Linked DNA regions of Drosophila melanogaster. The protein of the gene in region 2 purifies or fractionates together with the protein of the main gene of each other region. This does not show direct contact. Each region holds a gene or a part of one and is shown on either strand. Other genes may lie near its edges.

Region 1 (7,782 bases), 7.3 Mb from region 2:
CGCAGCCCAGTTTCGAGGACATTCGCAACGGTTCGGAGAGCAAAAACAGCGCGGTGCCGGATGTTCCACCTCCGCCAATACCCTCCGGACCCAAGCGTCCACGGCCCGCGGAACCGGAACCGGAACCGGAAGCGGAACGCAAACCGGAAACGGACAACTGATTGCGGGCTGACCAAAATTCCACACACGTATTTATTACCATTTCGCTTAGGCATAATATCGATTCGATTGTACAATGTCGCCTTAACCCGTAAGCTAAAGTAAGAGTTCATTCAGAGATAACGAATAAAAAACATAAAATCGCACTGGCGGTGATTGAACTTGGATGGATGTTCCCCAGTTCCCCAGGGAAACCAGGGGACGATTTCGCTTTCGTCGGGGAATTGGGAGCCGTTTATCTCAGCTCTGATGGGACTATAAAGGCAGTCGAGTTGCCGGGAAAAGTTACAGTTAACATCGAAAGGGGAACTCAGAATGAAGCTGGCCCTGCTCCTGATCCTCTGCTGTTGCCTCATCGGAATGGGTGAGCTACAACTTTGGTCTTTGGATACCCAATGAATAACAATATCCAATATGCAGCGATTGGTGACTCGGTTTTGGTGACCAAGCCGCCGTTCATTCGCAGTCGCTATAGCTTGCGTTGGAGGAAGACAACCACTGTGGCGCCTGAAGTGGTCACTGGATCCAGTGGATCAACCGTTAACACGGTCACCACCACCGACCATCCCAAGCTGGCCACTTCCACCGCCAGTTCGGATTACGACTATTACGGAAATGGGGAGACGGAGAATGTGGTGCACAAGTAATAGTCATATTCCAGCCATATGACTATATATTAACACTTGATATAATCAGAGCGACTTTAATGTCATAACAATGTAAGAGAAGGCCATTTAATAAATAAACTGTATGTCAAATCTCTAGAAATCAATAAGAAATCCAATAAGAAATCTAAATTCAAATTACGCGGCATTAGACTTTATAACAGTTATGTTGCTAGCAGACGTTGTCAAAACAAGTTGGCAGTTTTTACAGCTCCATGTTAACTCAATGTTAGCTAACATACGACACAAGTCAGCTGTTCCGCGCCGACAGCAACAGCAACAAAAACAGCAGCTAAGAACAAACGAGTTTTGGATCGAAAATGTTGTTAACAATTAAATGCGCTCAGAATGTGATTAAGCCGAACTGCCAGAAAGTGGCCAATCTGCTTGCCAGCAGCCGCAGAGCTGGTTTATTCCCCACAACTGCAACAACAGCAACGAGTAGAAGGTATTCAAAAGGTGGAATGTGCGGAAGGGGAGGGAGGGGCAAAAATACCAAACTTAAATCTGAGCTTTATTTTTCGCGCAGCCTGTCGCAAATCTCAGTTCTGTATTCGCCAGCAGCGAGAGAAGCAGCACGGGCAGCAACTGGTGGCAGTGCGAATCTCCGGAGAATCCACAACACCCCAACCACAGAAGCAACAGCAACCGCAATCACAGCGAAAAAGCGCAAAATGGTGGTAAGTACGAGCCGAAAGTGAGTTTGAGATCAAGGTGAACGGAGTCTCAGCGAAATCGAGTGGTTCCCTTATCGCCTCCAACTGAAATCAATCGACCACCCAAGGACAGGTTTGGACTTTCGGAAAGTGCTTTATGCCCTAACAAATAGAATCACTGTGATTTTGGCCAGAAATGGAGGTTTTTCGCTCACAAATTATTTTGTATATATATCGTATGAATCAATAACACTCACATACTTGTTGCTCGCTGCCCTTTAGGTACGACTAAACGAACAGGAACGCGCCGAGAAGCTGCAGCCCCTCCTGGACGCCGGCTGGACTTTGGTGGAGGGGCGCGACGCCATCTTCAAGCAGTTCGTGCTGAAGGACTTCAACCAGGCCTTCAGCTTCATGACGGGCGTGGCATTGCTGGCCGAGAAGATCAACCACCATCCCGAGTGGTTCAACTGCTACAACAAGGTGGACGTGACCCTGTCCACGCACGACGTGGGCGGTCTCAGTTCGCAGGACATTCGCATGGCCACGCACTTGGAGACCACGGCCAATTTGTTGAAATAAACGCATTGTTATACTAGTTGCTAAATATCTATAATCTTCGGTGTCCAATAAATACTCAGCTTAGCATCGATTTGCTAAAGATTTGGTAGTCGGCTTGTTCCAGGACATCTGGCGAGATCTCGTCCTTGACGTAGCCCAGTTGCTTGAAGAAGGAAATGGAGGCTTCGTTGTTGTTGAGAACGGTCAGCATGACCTTTTCCAGATGCCACAGGCGAGCGCAGTCCTCCAAAGTGCTCATGATGAACTTTCCCAGGCCTTTTCTACGATACTCTGCAGCCACTTGCATTTCGTAACTGAAAGGAAGTTCTACGTAATTAATGCATAAGGGCTTTACTTATGGAATACCCACCAATACAGGACACAGTCCCCGTGATCCATGTCGAAGCGGAACATTGCGTAGGCCACGTTCTCCTTCTTTTCGTTCTGGGCCACCAAGTAGCGAGCCCAGTTCTTGTTCAGCTCGGCGGCTTTGATCTTGGGCTGCCAGCCCATCTTGAGTTGCTTGTAATAGGGTCCCACGTTCGTCTCGGCCAGCTTAAAGGCCCATTTCAGCAGTTTGGAGTCCGCATCCGACTTCGCTCGGCAGATGAGTTTGAATTCCTCTCCGCTGGGGGCTTTGTAGCTTTGGTAGCTCAGAGATTCGAGGGGATTCTTGGCCCTGGCAGCCGTCTCCACAAATCTCTGTTTGGCGCCCTGACTTAGATCGTCCTGATTCCGCATTGTTTGCTTAAAATTTTGTAAAAATGGCAATTCGACTAAAAATATGCCGCGCAAATTAGGGATGGCACACAGTGGTAAACAAACTATTATTGCTTATATAGAGACTGCTATCGATTACACAGATTAACTTTAATTGGTATTTTTGAAATAATAATTACTGGCCACTTCATTATTTACCACTGTTTTGTAAACAATTGCAGAAAATTTATTGAATTCCATTTTACGGCTTATATACGGGTTTTAGACTAAATTGTTAGTACGATAATTAACCTTAATATCACTAAGACTACGAGACTCGATACATCAGGTAACCCCACATATTGAATCCCCAATTCAACAAGTGCTGACGTTTCCAGTTCTCTAAATTGTAGTTTCAAGGAAACAGACGATGTTTAGGAAGTCCAGGCCCAAAGTAGAGCCTCCACCCACGGCTCCCAGTGTAGAGGAAATGCTGGCGGACATGGAAACGTTCGAGGTCAATCAGCCTACGATAAGCGGATCTACAGACAACTTGGACTTGGAGCACGCTTTCATGACTGAACCAGAGAATCTTCCCCTTTCAACATGGTGGCAGATGTTCGACGAGTACGATCAGAAGGTGAAGAAACTGTCGGCCACCGTGGGAGATCTGGAGACCCAACGAAATCAGTTAAAAGAATGCTATGCGAAGCTGGAAAATAACGCGGATAAACTGAGAACGGACATCCAAAAGCAGCAGGCACTGGTCAAAGAAGCCCTTAAATGTTAATCTATCATTAAGCTACCTTATCTTAAACTATTGTTGAATGCACGAGCGGGTAACAAGTAAAACCTAAAAACTCCACAATCTTGAGAATATTCACTTTAGGCCCACTGCACTGTGGTTCGAGTCCCGGCTAGAACTTCAGCTCAAAGTACGTTTGCGGTATATTTTTCAACCGCGAGGTGTATTTTTCTGAGCCTGACATTTTAACGGTCAATGCGCGGTGTGGTCACACTGCTTGGTGGATGGTAAGGTGGTCGAAAAAAGTTGTTAAAAGCGCAGAAAAAGCAATTGTAATGCAATTGCTCCAGTGACTGTGAAAAGTAAGCAGCCAAGCAAATAAGTTAATCAAAACATAGATCAACAGATCAGAAAGTCCTAAAACGGCACGATTAGTCGTGAAATTCGCTCGGTTTAGGCCTGGATGATTGGGCAGAAGAACAGGTTTTAGGCCGTGGCAACAACGAAAAAAAAAAAAAAATAGAAAAAAAAACCTGCGACTGGCTTATACCATTTACGCCATTAACGGAGGTCGATGGTTATCCCTGTGTGTGTGTGGTGTGTGTTTGGTCCAATATATTTGGCTAAATTCCGCAAATCCAATTAACGCAAACGGAAAAAAAGAGTGCAACAATTTGTGGCTAATTGAATTTTACGTGTATTTTATTTTGGTTTTCGACCAGCGCAACAACAACAGCGAGCAACGAGTAGAAAGAGTGGGGAGAGCAGTGGGGGTTTTTTTGGCCCAAAGCTCAGGTAGAATACACACACACACGCATGATTGTTGGGCAAAAACAATAATTATCCAATTAAACGGTTGTCAAAGAATGCATTTAATTTCATTGGCCAATAGGTTTGCGCGTAAGAGAGGGAAGCAGTGGCGAAGAGAGCGCCTAACTAACAGTATTTTTCACGGGCACACCAATGCGAGCGACACTGCTTCGTGTGTGTATGTGTGTGAGGTGCTAATGAGATGCTGTGACGCTCTTCTTCTTCTTGCCGTTTGTTGCTTTTGCCATTTATGCAAAAAGACGCAAAACAGCGAAAAAAAAACAGAACAAAATACACAGATTTTCGAGCTGAACAAAAGATTTCACGTAAAAGGTGAAAGCCACTTGGAGATGCGAGCACACGGCGTATACGCAATGCAGTTTCTTTGTGCCACGGACCGTTAATGCAATCATCTCGCGATCATAACCGTTCTAGATTCTCACCTCTCCACTCCGCATTCTGCACTTTTCCACTCCTCCAGTTACCGCGGAGATGTCACCGATTGGAGCCACTTCCTCGCAGCGAATCCCACAACAATAACAAATAACGAATAACAAATGATGTGATGCAGCAGCAGGGGTCGAGTTCGAAAAACACAACCTTCGAGTAGTCCAGGCCATCTAGAATCGCACCCGGATCGCACCCACGATGAGCTGGCTGCTGGGCCTCCTCGGGCTCCAGGTCCTGTTCCTCTGGCTCCTGTGGCTGCCCGGCGAGATCCTGGCCATTCCCACGCCGCTCAAGCTGCCAGGTGAGTCGGGCTTTAAAAGATAACCCAAAATCTAAAAAATTAAACAATCTGATTTTTTACAAAGAGGCTTCCTCAAATATGCTATTTGTATATCATCATCGTATCAATATTTGTTTTCTTAAGTACACTGTAATCCTCTTAATCAGTTGCTTTCTATAGCCTACCCACAAATTTGTTCATCACTTAGTTAAGAGAAATTTCATCTTGTCATCGCCGCTGGCAGCTTTCTCCCGCTCCCACTAACCCCTAAAATGCCCCCTTCCTCTTACAGGCTACACCCACAGGCTGACGCCCTACATCAAGCACTGGGAGGCGGCGAACTTCGATCGCCAGGTGCTGCAGGCGGCGCAGGTCAGGCACCTGGAGCAGGCTCGCTTCCGGCAGAAGAGAGAGGTGACCCCCTCGGCGAGTGGACTGGCGCACACCATCCGCTTGAATTTCTCCGCCCACGACAGGTGAGTGCACTCGATATCGCCAGCCGAAAAGGTAATCACTTAATCACCTAAAACCGCCTTCCTCACGCAGAGATTTCCGCTTGGTGCTGCGTCAACAGCCGCATTCGGTGTTCGCCCACGATGTGGAGATCGAGAACACTCTGGGCCCCATCGACTACGATGTGTCGCGCATTTATACGGGCAGCCTGGAGGACGACGAGGCGGCCCACGTCCAGGCGATCCTCACCAGCGACAACCTGTTGGACGGCACGATAGAGACCCAGGCGGAGCACTACTACATCGAGCCGGCGCATCGGTATTCCCAGCAGCTAGCCGAGAGCGGTGTCCACAGCATAGTCTATAAGTTAAGCGATGTAAATATGCAGAAGCAGCAGTTCACCGGCGGAGGACTCAACTCCGCCACTCCCGCCAAGACGCACTGCGCCAGCGAAAAGCTGAGGAAGAAGCGGTGGCTGCCAGAGGAGGTGAGTATCCGAAGAATGCACTCTAAATCCCATTTTAATGAATCTCACCTTTTAGCTGGCCATGTCGGATGCTCCGGCCCCCACGTACAATCGTAATCCGCCCCTGCCGCTGGACTTGGAGGTGCCGTACAACGATGATTTTCGCGTCCTGGCCTCCGAAGAGGACAAGAGCGAGGAGTCGCCGCGGAAGTACCCGACCACGTCCACAACCAGGAGCACTGTGCGCAGCACCGAGAGCTTCCTGGCCACTCTGACTAAGCCCACGTCGAACCGCAACATACTTGTAAATAACTACAATCCCTCCAATCTCGGCGAGGGAAGTCGCAGCTACAGCAGCGGCAACAACAACGCCAACAGCAATAGTAACAACAATAACAGCAACAACAACAATAATAATAATAATAGTAATAACAATGTGCGGAAGTTGTACACGAAACACAAGAACATTATTGTAAGCACGTACAACCGACCCATCGAACCGGAATTCGGAACGCCCTACGAGGAGCCGAATAACAATGGCACCCGCGAGCTGCCCAGTAACTTCTTCAATGCCAACTGGACGACGCTCTTTCTGGGAAACAACAACAATGGCAACGACCGGCCCAGCCACAAGACGCATGTGGAGATCATCACGAAGAACGGAGCCACCAAGAAGCCAAACATCATTGTGAACAACTACAATCCGGAGATCATATTCGCACCCAATCCGCACAATCCGAGTTTTAACAGCATGATGATGACAAACCTGCTGAGTGGAAGGGGTGGCGAGGACATTCACAGCTCTCCCAGGCTGCTCTACGACCGCAAGACCACTTGCATGCTATACCTGCAGGCGGACCACACGTTCTTCCAGAAGATGGGCTCGGACGAGGCGTCCATAGAGGCCATCACTCGGCACGTACAGCGTGCGAACACAATCTACCGGAACACGGACTTCAACAACGATGGGAAGCCGGACAACATCACCTTCATGATCAAGCGCATCAAGGTGCACAACATGAACGCGATGAAGGATCCCAGCTACCGATTCCCCGGTAACTACGGCGTGGAAAAGTTTCTGGAGCTGTTTTCGGGTGAGTGAACTTAACTTTCTGGATAATTGATCCGGTTTTGAGATCCTGTGCTGACTTCATCTTCTGATTAATTGATATGCAATTAACATTATCTGTGATTTCTTGATACATGTTTAATTAATTATATTTGTGTTGCGTGTATAATTTATATGAACTTTTGTTGATTTATTTTACAGAGGAGGACTACGATGCCTTTTGTTTGGCTTACATGTTCACCTACCGTGATTTCGAGATGGGAACCTTGGGATTGGCCTGGACGGGAGATCTCAAGAACGCTGGCGGAGTCTGCGAAAAGAATGGTCACTACCGGGGGTCCCTTAAGTCACTCAATACAGGAATAGTCACTCTGTTGAACTATGGAAAGCATGTGCCACCGGCTGTCTCCCACGTGACTTTGGCCCACGAAATTGGACACAACTTTGGATCACCAGTGAGAATTCTATAATTGTTTATAAAATATTACACGTTGTTAAGAGTACTTTCCAATTTCAGCACGATCCGGAGCAGTGTACGCCTGGTGGCGAGGATGGTAACTTCATTATGTTTGCCCGCGCCACTTCGGGCGACAAGAAGAACAACAATAAGTTCAGCACCTGCTCGCTGAAATCAATAGAGCCCGTGCTGAATGCCAAGGCGCGTTCCATGAAGGGCTGCTTCACCGAGCCGCAGTCATCGATTTGCGGCAATGGCGTGGTGGAGCCGGGCGAGCAGTGCGACTGCGGCTGGGAGGAGGACTGCAAGGAC
Region 2 (7,726 bases):
CGAAAGCTCCGCCAGCTTATTCACAAAAAGCCACTGGTGCGGTCTAGGCGACTCGAAAATGGCACTACAATCGAACTGGACAAAGGAGTTTGTACCTCACACTACTGATTTTACATTTAGACAAGTTAAAATCGTTCAGAATTACTGGAAATCTTGAATTTAATGGTTTATATTGGTACTTTGTTGATTTACCCGAAAAAGTGTGCTACGGAAAAGGAAAGCACCGCACGCTTTGAGTGTAGTGTGTGGGAATGCCAAAAATTAAAAGCTCGCTTACTTCGCACGAGGCATGCATATGTGTACTACTAACACACAAACGCACACATAGACACCAGCTGCCCACTCACACATGCGTAATAAGCGAATAGCACGCAGGTTCATAACCTGCACCACTAAAGCGTATTAGATGCCACATTCACATGGATACACACATATGCATGTTCAGCTGTGTGCGTGGGTGTCCTGTGGCCGCACGCACACTCACACACACCAACTCAAGCTGACACCCCCCCGGGCTCACTATCTCCGAGACGACCCGTGTAAATTCCTTGACATTTACTACGCAACTTCGACATCTCGGAGTCGAATTCGATTTGCATTTGCATTGGCAGTGGAATGTGATGTCCCTTACTCTCGATTGTGGGTGTATGTCCTGCCTCTGTCAAATCCCATCACCCTGCTCCTTCGTCCTAGGAGAGCAATTGCAAGGCCGTCGCCTCCATTAATCGTCGTCGCAGTCCAGGCGAACACATTAATTTGAGCACACGAATCACGCACTGACCATTACAGCAGGGACCAGGATCCTGCTATTAAGCACTTACGGTTTTTAATAATATTTTAACGCACGCTAAAGGCTAAACAAATGCCAGCACGTGCTGTCCATTGTCCTTCGGAGTCGTGACGTTCAAGTGGACTAACAAGGACTAAGATTGGGAATGCCAAAAGCTGGGGGAAGAGCGAAAAGCTTAAAATCAAACTGAGCGGCAGCTCTTGAACTTTCAAGGGCTTTTAAACTACCATTATTTTAAAATCTGTGGAGAGTTCGGCATTGTCAAGTAATATTCTTCAAAATGAATGGAAAAATCTTTTAAATTTCAGGAACATTCTTAAAAATGCAAGTGCATCACCCAATGCCTAAATATCAATATGAAAATATTTTTCAAATTATTAAAAAATTAACGATTCTTTTAAAATTAGTTTTTTGGTATATTTACTTTTGATTTAACGGTATATGGCATCATCGCACCTACAGCCACACTAATTCGATCGTTTACTTACAGCTGTTCTTATCAATCAGCTGTTATCAACGGATCTTTATCAAGTGCACTTTACAAGGCGTCGTGTGTAAAGATTAGAATTTGCCAAATATTCCTCTCTGGACATCTGAAGAGCCCTTGAGAAGCAGCTAAGTTTGTTGCCATACTCCAAAATCCCCGTTAGATCCCGCTTACGTAATGCTGGGCAATCTGTGCCGGCTTGTGGGTGCCCGTTCCCCGATCACCAGGCGCTTGCTGCACACGGAGCGGAAAGTTCGTGTGAATGGCTCAGATTTGAACATTGTGGAGAGCGGCAGTGGGGAGCGGAGTCTACTCCTGATGCCGGGAGCACTGGGTTCCTCGTGGACCGACTTTAGGCCCCAGATCGAGCAGCTGCCGAAACTGCTGCCGGGTCACACCATCATCGCCTGGGATCCGCCGGGTTATGGCAAATCAGTGCCGCCGCAGCGCAAGTTCGGCCTTGAATTCTTTCGGGAGGATGCCCAGGCAGCCGTGGATTTGATGCGTGCCCTGGACAGACCACGCTTCTCCATTTTGGGCTGGAGCGATGGGGGCATCACGGCGCTCATAGTCGCAGGTCGCCATGCGGAAGCTGTGGATCGCCTAGCAATCTGGGGAGCAGGTGCCTACTTGAACGCTGACGAAGTCAAGGCTCTTAAGAACATTCGGGATGTGGCCAAGTGGTCGCCGCGCATGCGTGAGCCCATGGAAAAGGTTTACGGCGTCGAAAGATTCCCCCAATTGTGGGCCGAATGGGTGGACGCCGCATGCGCCTTCTATGACCAACGGGATGGAGACTTCTGTCGCACCGAAGTTGAGAAAATAAAGATACCTACTTTTATACTCCACGGAAAGAAGGATCCCATGATAGCAGCGGAGCACATTCCTTGGCTGAGGGAGCGTTTGCCTCATGCGGAATATTATGAGTTCCCCGAGGGGAAGCATAATATCCATTTACGTTATGCGGAGGAGTTTAACAAACTGGTGGCCGATTTCTTTAACAAAAATAACTAGATTAACCAATATATTTAAGCTTTCATGGATCCAAACTCATTACTTGTTTAACAATGGTAACTTGAAGTTGGATGGATATTCGTTATATGTGAAAGCAGTTATCAGAAATGAGCATGCAGGTGTTCAAAGTTCGAATTTTAAAAGGAAACTGATAGTTTTGATGAATCAAATTCATATCTAAGTTAAAGAATATTGTTATCTATTCAATGAATCATTTCGAAATAAATTGAAAAATAACCATATCTCCTAACTTAGCGAAAGGGAAATAAATGATTAATTATAAACATTTCTTTCTCTCGCTTTTATAAACTTAACTTCAAAGAAAGATATCAAAGCCTCGGGCAAGTTTAAATTAATTCCGGAAATGTTATCAAAAGTAATTCTTATAAAAATATACTTCAGCTGCTTATGGAAATCGCATAGCAAAAGACCCGCCCACAAGCATGTATGAGATAACTTTTATGAGAACTAGTACATATTTAATATTTATTATTTCACAGAGAGCTGATCAGTTGGTGGCCAGATTACTGGACCGTCTCGATGAGGGTCTTCACGTAGTCATCGTATTGGGCCTGGAAGAAGTTGCCGGCCACGGGACCGCCGAAGCTGTACTTCTGGATGTAGTCGCGGGCCTTGACGTTGATGCGGCCAGTGCGGCTGGTCTTGGACACGAACTTCTCGGTGGTGATCTTGTCGTTCTGCTTGAACACCAGGAAGACGTAGCGGTGCAGGCCGGTTCCCTCGCGGGGTCCAGCACCGATGTACTCGGCGATGGTCTGGCCCTCGGACACCTTGTTGCCGGGAATGTTGATCACCAGCCAGTGGAGCAGCTCACGGAACTTGGGGTCCTCGCGGCTGGGTGCGTCGGGGTCCACCAACAGGATGGTGTACAGGGAGTTGGGCTCGGCATCGAAGACGACAGTGGGCTGGTCCTTCACCTGAGTGGGAGTCAGCTCCTTGCCCAGCTCAACCTGAACGCCGGAAGGATAGGTGATGGTGGCCTTGGAGGCGGGCTTGACGTCGATGATGTCGGGAATAATGCCGGCGGTGTCCATGTTAGCTGGTAGTTCTGTTGCTTCTGCTCGGTGTAGCGTTAGCGAGTTGACTCTGGCCCGGATCCCTGATGTCTGGCCTTTTATCGACGGAGTCCGCCGCCTAATCAGTTCCGTGCACTTTTCAGTTAATACCCCAACGCATAGATAGCGAGATAAGCAATTGGTTAAACTTTATTGACGGGGAATTGAAAACCCTGCATGATATATGCACAAATCTAGCCTACGATCGTTTTATTCCGAATTGGCACATAGTCATCATACTGGGCCTGGTAATAATTGGCGGCAATGGGCTCGCCCAATCCATGTTTGGCGGCAAAGTCCCGGGCGTTGAAGTTCAAACGGCCTGTGCGAGTACTGTGAATGGGAATTGATCAGTGTCACAGTAAACTGATAAATATCTTAATATATATCATACGTATTGGATATAGTGGGCGTCTCCTCGATCTTGTTCTCCTGGCGATAGAGGAGGAAAATATACCGATGCAGGCCAGTGTCCTTGGGCGGTCCAGATCCAACGTAGTCCGCTAGGGAGTGGCCACCAGAAGGATTCTCATTGCTGCCGGGAATGTTGACCACAGACCAGTGCAGAATCTCACGGTACTTGGGATCTTGACGAGTCGGTGCATCGGGATCCACCATGAGCAGGGTCAATAGGTTGGACTTTCCCTCCAGCCCAGACCAGCTGACAATCGGTTGGTCCTTCACCTGGGTGGGGGTTAGCTCGTTGCCCTGCTTGACCTCCAAGTCATCGCCATAGATGACCTTAATGGTGCCAGCGGGAACCGCATCCAGCACATCGGGTACTATGTCATCCATGTTACGTGTAGCGTGTCAGCCCAAAAAGATGATAATACGGTTTTTTTTTCGTGGCGTTATCACTCTGCTGACCAAGCCAGCTGGGTGATAACAAAGCAAAAGCTTCACTCTGATTCAGCGGATATCTACGGATTTATTAAAATTTCCAGTCCAATTAATTAGTATCTGGATGGCGAAACCAGTCAAGGCTATCCAGCGCTGGCAACAGCTAACACCTAGAAATAATAGTTTAATGGACACAGCGGAATAAACTTTATCGCAGTGGGTGAACTGATTGGACAATGTTGATTTCTAGCGCCGATGGAAAATTGTGAAAAGCCCCTTCCACGATAAGCAAGCTTTTATGCCAACTGGCATTTTTAGGCCCTTTTTTGCTTTCCCAAAACGCAAAGATCACTTCCATTGGTGCGATGATTCATGGCTAGAAACTAGTTTTCACTTCGTTGAACATCATCAATAATTGTGACGTTAATTTCAGGATTTAGCTGATCTTGAACCAATGTGCACACGTGATAGCGAAGACAGCACTTGTGGGCTGATCATAAAGTTGTATATCACCCATTTATGAGGTTGTAATCGTACCTTTCCGTTCTATTGTTGGGCATATCAGTTCGATATAGGGAAAAGCCATATAACGATACCCTTTCACCAATGAGAAACACATCATTTTTAGTATATATCATGCTAATTTATTTATTAAACAATTCGAATATTATTAACACTTGAATATCAATATTGATAGCGCTGACAGAGTTTTGGTCTATTAAATACGCTTAGTTGCATTTATCGCCTTTGTTCTTTGCACAATGAAAATAATGATTAAATATACATATATATATATATTTATAATACGATAATACAAATAATAATTAGAGTTGTGAAACGTGAGCGTGAGATTTGTGAGACGTCCCGCGACGCATATAAAAACAACATAGTTTACATTTACATAGTAGGGTAAATCATAGTACCTAGTAGTGGTATGTCTATGGGGAACACGCCCCGCCCGCATAACCAGTGCTCGCGGAGGCAGTGTGTGCGGTATACGGCATAGGGTGTCCGGGGTGGATCCGCTACTCGGGCGTCCTCCGGACTTGCTGGAACTAATCTTGGAATACATAAGCTGCTGGTTCAATTTGATTGAGGAAATACCAATAGATGCGGTAACACTTTCTCCATTCATCTCGTTAAATTCAATTGTGATAATCTTGCTCCGTGATGGGGATGCTTGGGCGCCCTAGCAGCGCGTCTCATACAAGCCACTGCGTCCGATGTAGCGCACCCATTTGACCACATCGTGGTCGGAGTAGTTGAGCTTGGGCTCGAACACCTTCAGGTAGCGTACCTTGAAGCCGGACGGCGCGAATGGCACCTCAAAGTTCATGGAGATGGGCGGCCGAGTCCACTTCTTCTTGGTGTCCGTCTCCAAAAGTTCGATTTCCGCGGACAGCTGTGTCTCCTTCATGCCCGCCATGCGCTTAATCTTCCACACGATCGCGTTCTCCGAAGCCTTATATTTGGCTTTGCCCTTTAGGCAGATGAGCTGCACGCCCGATGTATTGAGCGGGGTTGGTATCTTCACCTCGATCTTTTGGCCCAGCAGTGAGGGCTTAAAGTTGGACTTCAGCACAACCTTAACCTCCATCTTGGTGCGGCCCACCTCCCGCACCAGCGGGATGACTCGGAATGGCAGCGAAATGTCTTTGGTGGTACGGTAACGCATCAGCTCGAACTCCCCGTCCGGCGGGATGAAGCTGATCGAATGCTCCGTCTCGAATTTGCTTAGCTTGACGCACTGATGGAACTGGCAGTCATCGATGACCACGACGGGCTTGCCGGAGCGTGAGGTTTCCGCCTCTGAATTTCCGGAGAGACCGCGTCCCTTAGACTCCATCACGATCTTGTCGTTAATCCCGAACTTGCACTCGGGCATGCCTACAACATGGCGATTATTAAAAGGAATAATGTCTAGATTATTTATGCTAACTTACCCGACAAATACGACTTCATTACCACCTTGCCGGCCACGTGGGCAGACAAAACCTGACCCTGCGGGCTCATCAGCAGGTTCACGTACTCCAATACGTCCAGGAAAAGCTCGTTGCGCCGGTACTTGATGCCCTCGCGACGCCAGCCAATCTGGCCGGTAACCTGCGAGGTTATCTGCATCTGCTCCTCCTTGGTGGCCGACTTGATGCCCTGCTGTGTGATGAAGGTCTTCAGGGTGCCGGAGTCCGTGTTCTGCGGGTAGCCAAAGTCGAGGATCTCATCCAGCAGCTCGTAGATGAGCACGAAGTTATTCTTGATGTTCTCCTCCGAGATCTTGCCGAAGTAGGATTGCATCACCTCGATGATCTTCAAAAGGAACTCAAACACCATCGCGGCGTTCACATTCTGCTTGGTCACAGCCGCCAGCCAAATGTTTGCTCTCTGTGAAAGGAGTTTTGATGATAAGTGGGAGGGTTGGTGATTGTGACATAGGAACTTTGTTCACCGACCTTGATGTGGAAGAAGCTGGTCCTCGCAATATTGGTCACTGGCGAGCGGACCTGCTGGCGGGCGTGGATGACGTTGACCCGAAAGGCGTCCACGGCATTCCGACCGATGTCGTCGCGGTAAACTCGCGAGATCAGCACCTCGCCCTTGTGGTTGTAGACGAACAGGCCGCCAATCATCTTGTGCGCTATCTGATGGTTAGTCCAAGTCGGTGTAATATATATATTTATATGCAAATATAAGATATATACATGGACAGTGGACGATGCTGTAGCTTCAAGCGAAAATTTTTATCAGAAAATCAATTTTCACTCCCCCTTAGTGTGGCCCTTCGAGGTCAGTATATACCATAAGTGATACGGTCTTACAATTATTTAAAAAGAAGTGTTTATTCGAGTTCTGGGCACTTCAAATCCCAGATTGAGTTTACTTCTTGGGATTTAGCTCGAATATTTTCAAAAAATATATAAGTCGTGTTATTGGAAAAAAATAGATTCAACAATTATTTTACAACTAAATATTTCTTAATTCTTCGACAAAGTTATCATGAAACATCAGTTCTTTTCTAGACAGCTCTCAAGTTTTTTTTTTAAATTTAAATTACTTTCAGAATTTAAAAATAAATTAAAATACAAATTCCCAATTGGCAATTGCACTGTTCTAATTTCGTCGCTATCTTGATGGACATCGCTCTGGTATTTTTGGCAATGTAAAAATATGCGGTATAATTTATCGATAATTTTGGGGTCACACTGGTAGTACATGACTCTGCGATTTGACAAAAACAAAATTGAGTTTTGTCAAGAAAATCAACTATTTTTCTGTGTTTAAAAAACCGAAGCCAACAAATCCGACCAAAATGCCTGCCGAAAACTTGGAGGAGCAGGGTCTGGAGAAGAACCCGAACCTGGAGCTGGCCCAGACGAAGTTCCTGCTTACCCTGGCGGAATACAAGCAGGATGCGGCATTGAAGGCGAAGCTTCTGGAGGCGATTCGCACGGAGAATATGGCCCCGTGGTACGAGCACATCTGCTCGGAACTCGGCTGGACCGTAGACAAGGATCTGCTGGC

What was found.
Region 1: the proteins of Pebp1 (region 2) and Naa40 purify together in Drosophila melanogaster (affinity purification with mass spectrometry, with the first as the bait; one large-scale study listed by BioGRID). This does not show direct contact.

Annotation. Positions count from the first base shown.
Region 1 is NT_033777.3:29,722,085-29,729,866, forward strand, and holds Naa40 (N(alpha)-acetyltransferase 40), read right to left. Parts: upstream 2,867-7,782; 5' UTR 2,783-2,866; coding exon 2,412-2,782; intron 2,356-2,411; coding exon 2,118-2,355; 3' UTR 2,075-2,117; downstream 1-2,074. Other genes in the region: CG15506 (uncharacterized protein), read left to right, coding at 1-161; CG34296 (uncharacterized protein), read left to right, coding at 475-523, 580-806; Pcd (pterin-4a-carbinolamine dehydratase), read left to right, coding at 1,145-1,272, 1,354-1,504, 1,763-2,062; CG18731 (uncharacterized protein), read left to right, coding at 3,171-3,530; Kul (Kuzbanian-like), read left to right, coding at 4,944-5,046, 5,318-5,501, 5,572-5,965, 6,021-7,038, 7,215-7,468, 7,531-7,782.
Region 2 is NT_033777.3:22,461,711-22,469,436, reverse strand, and holds Pebp1 (Phosphatidylethanolamine-binding protein 1), read right to left. Parts: upstream 3,404-7,726; 5' UTR 3,347-3,403; coding exon 2,816-3,346; 3' UTR 2,758-2,815; downstream 1-2,757. Other genes in the region: CG5377 (uncharacterized protein), read left to right, coding at 1,455-2,291; CG7054 (uncharacterized protein), read right to left, coding at 3,562-3,700, 3,762-4,162; AP-2mu (adaptor protein complex 2, mu subunit), read right to left, coding at 5,397-6,094, 6,151-6,589, 6,658-6,834; Rpn7 (regulatory particle non-ATPase 7), read left to right, coding at 7,515-7,726.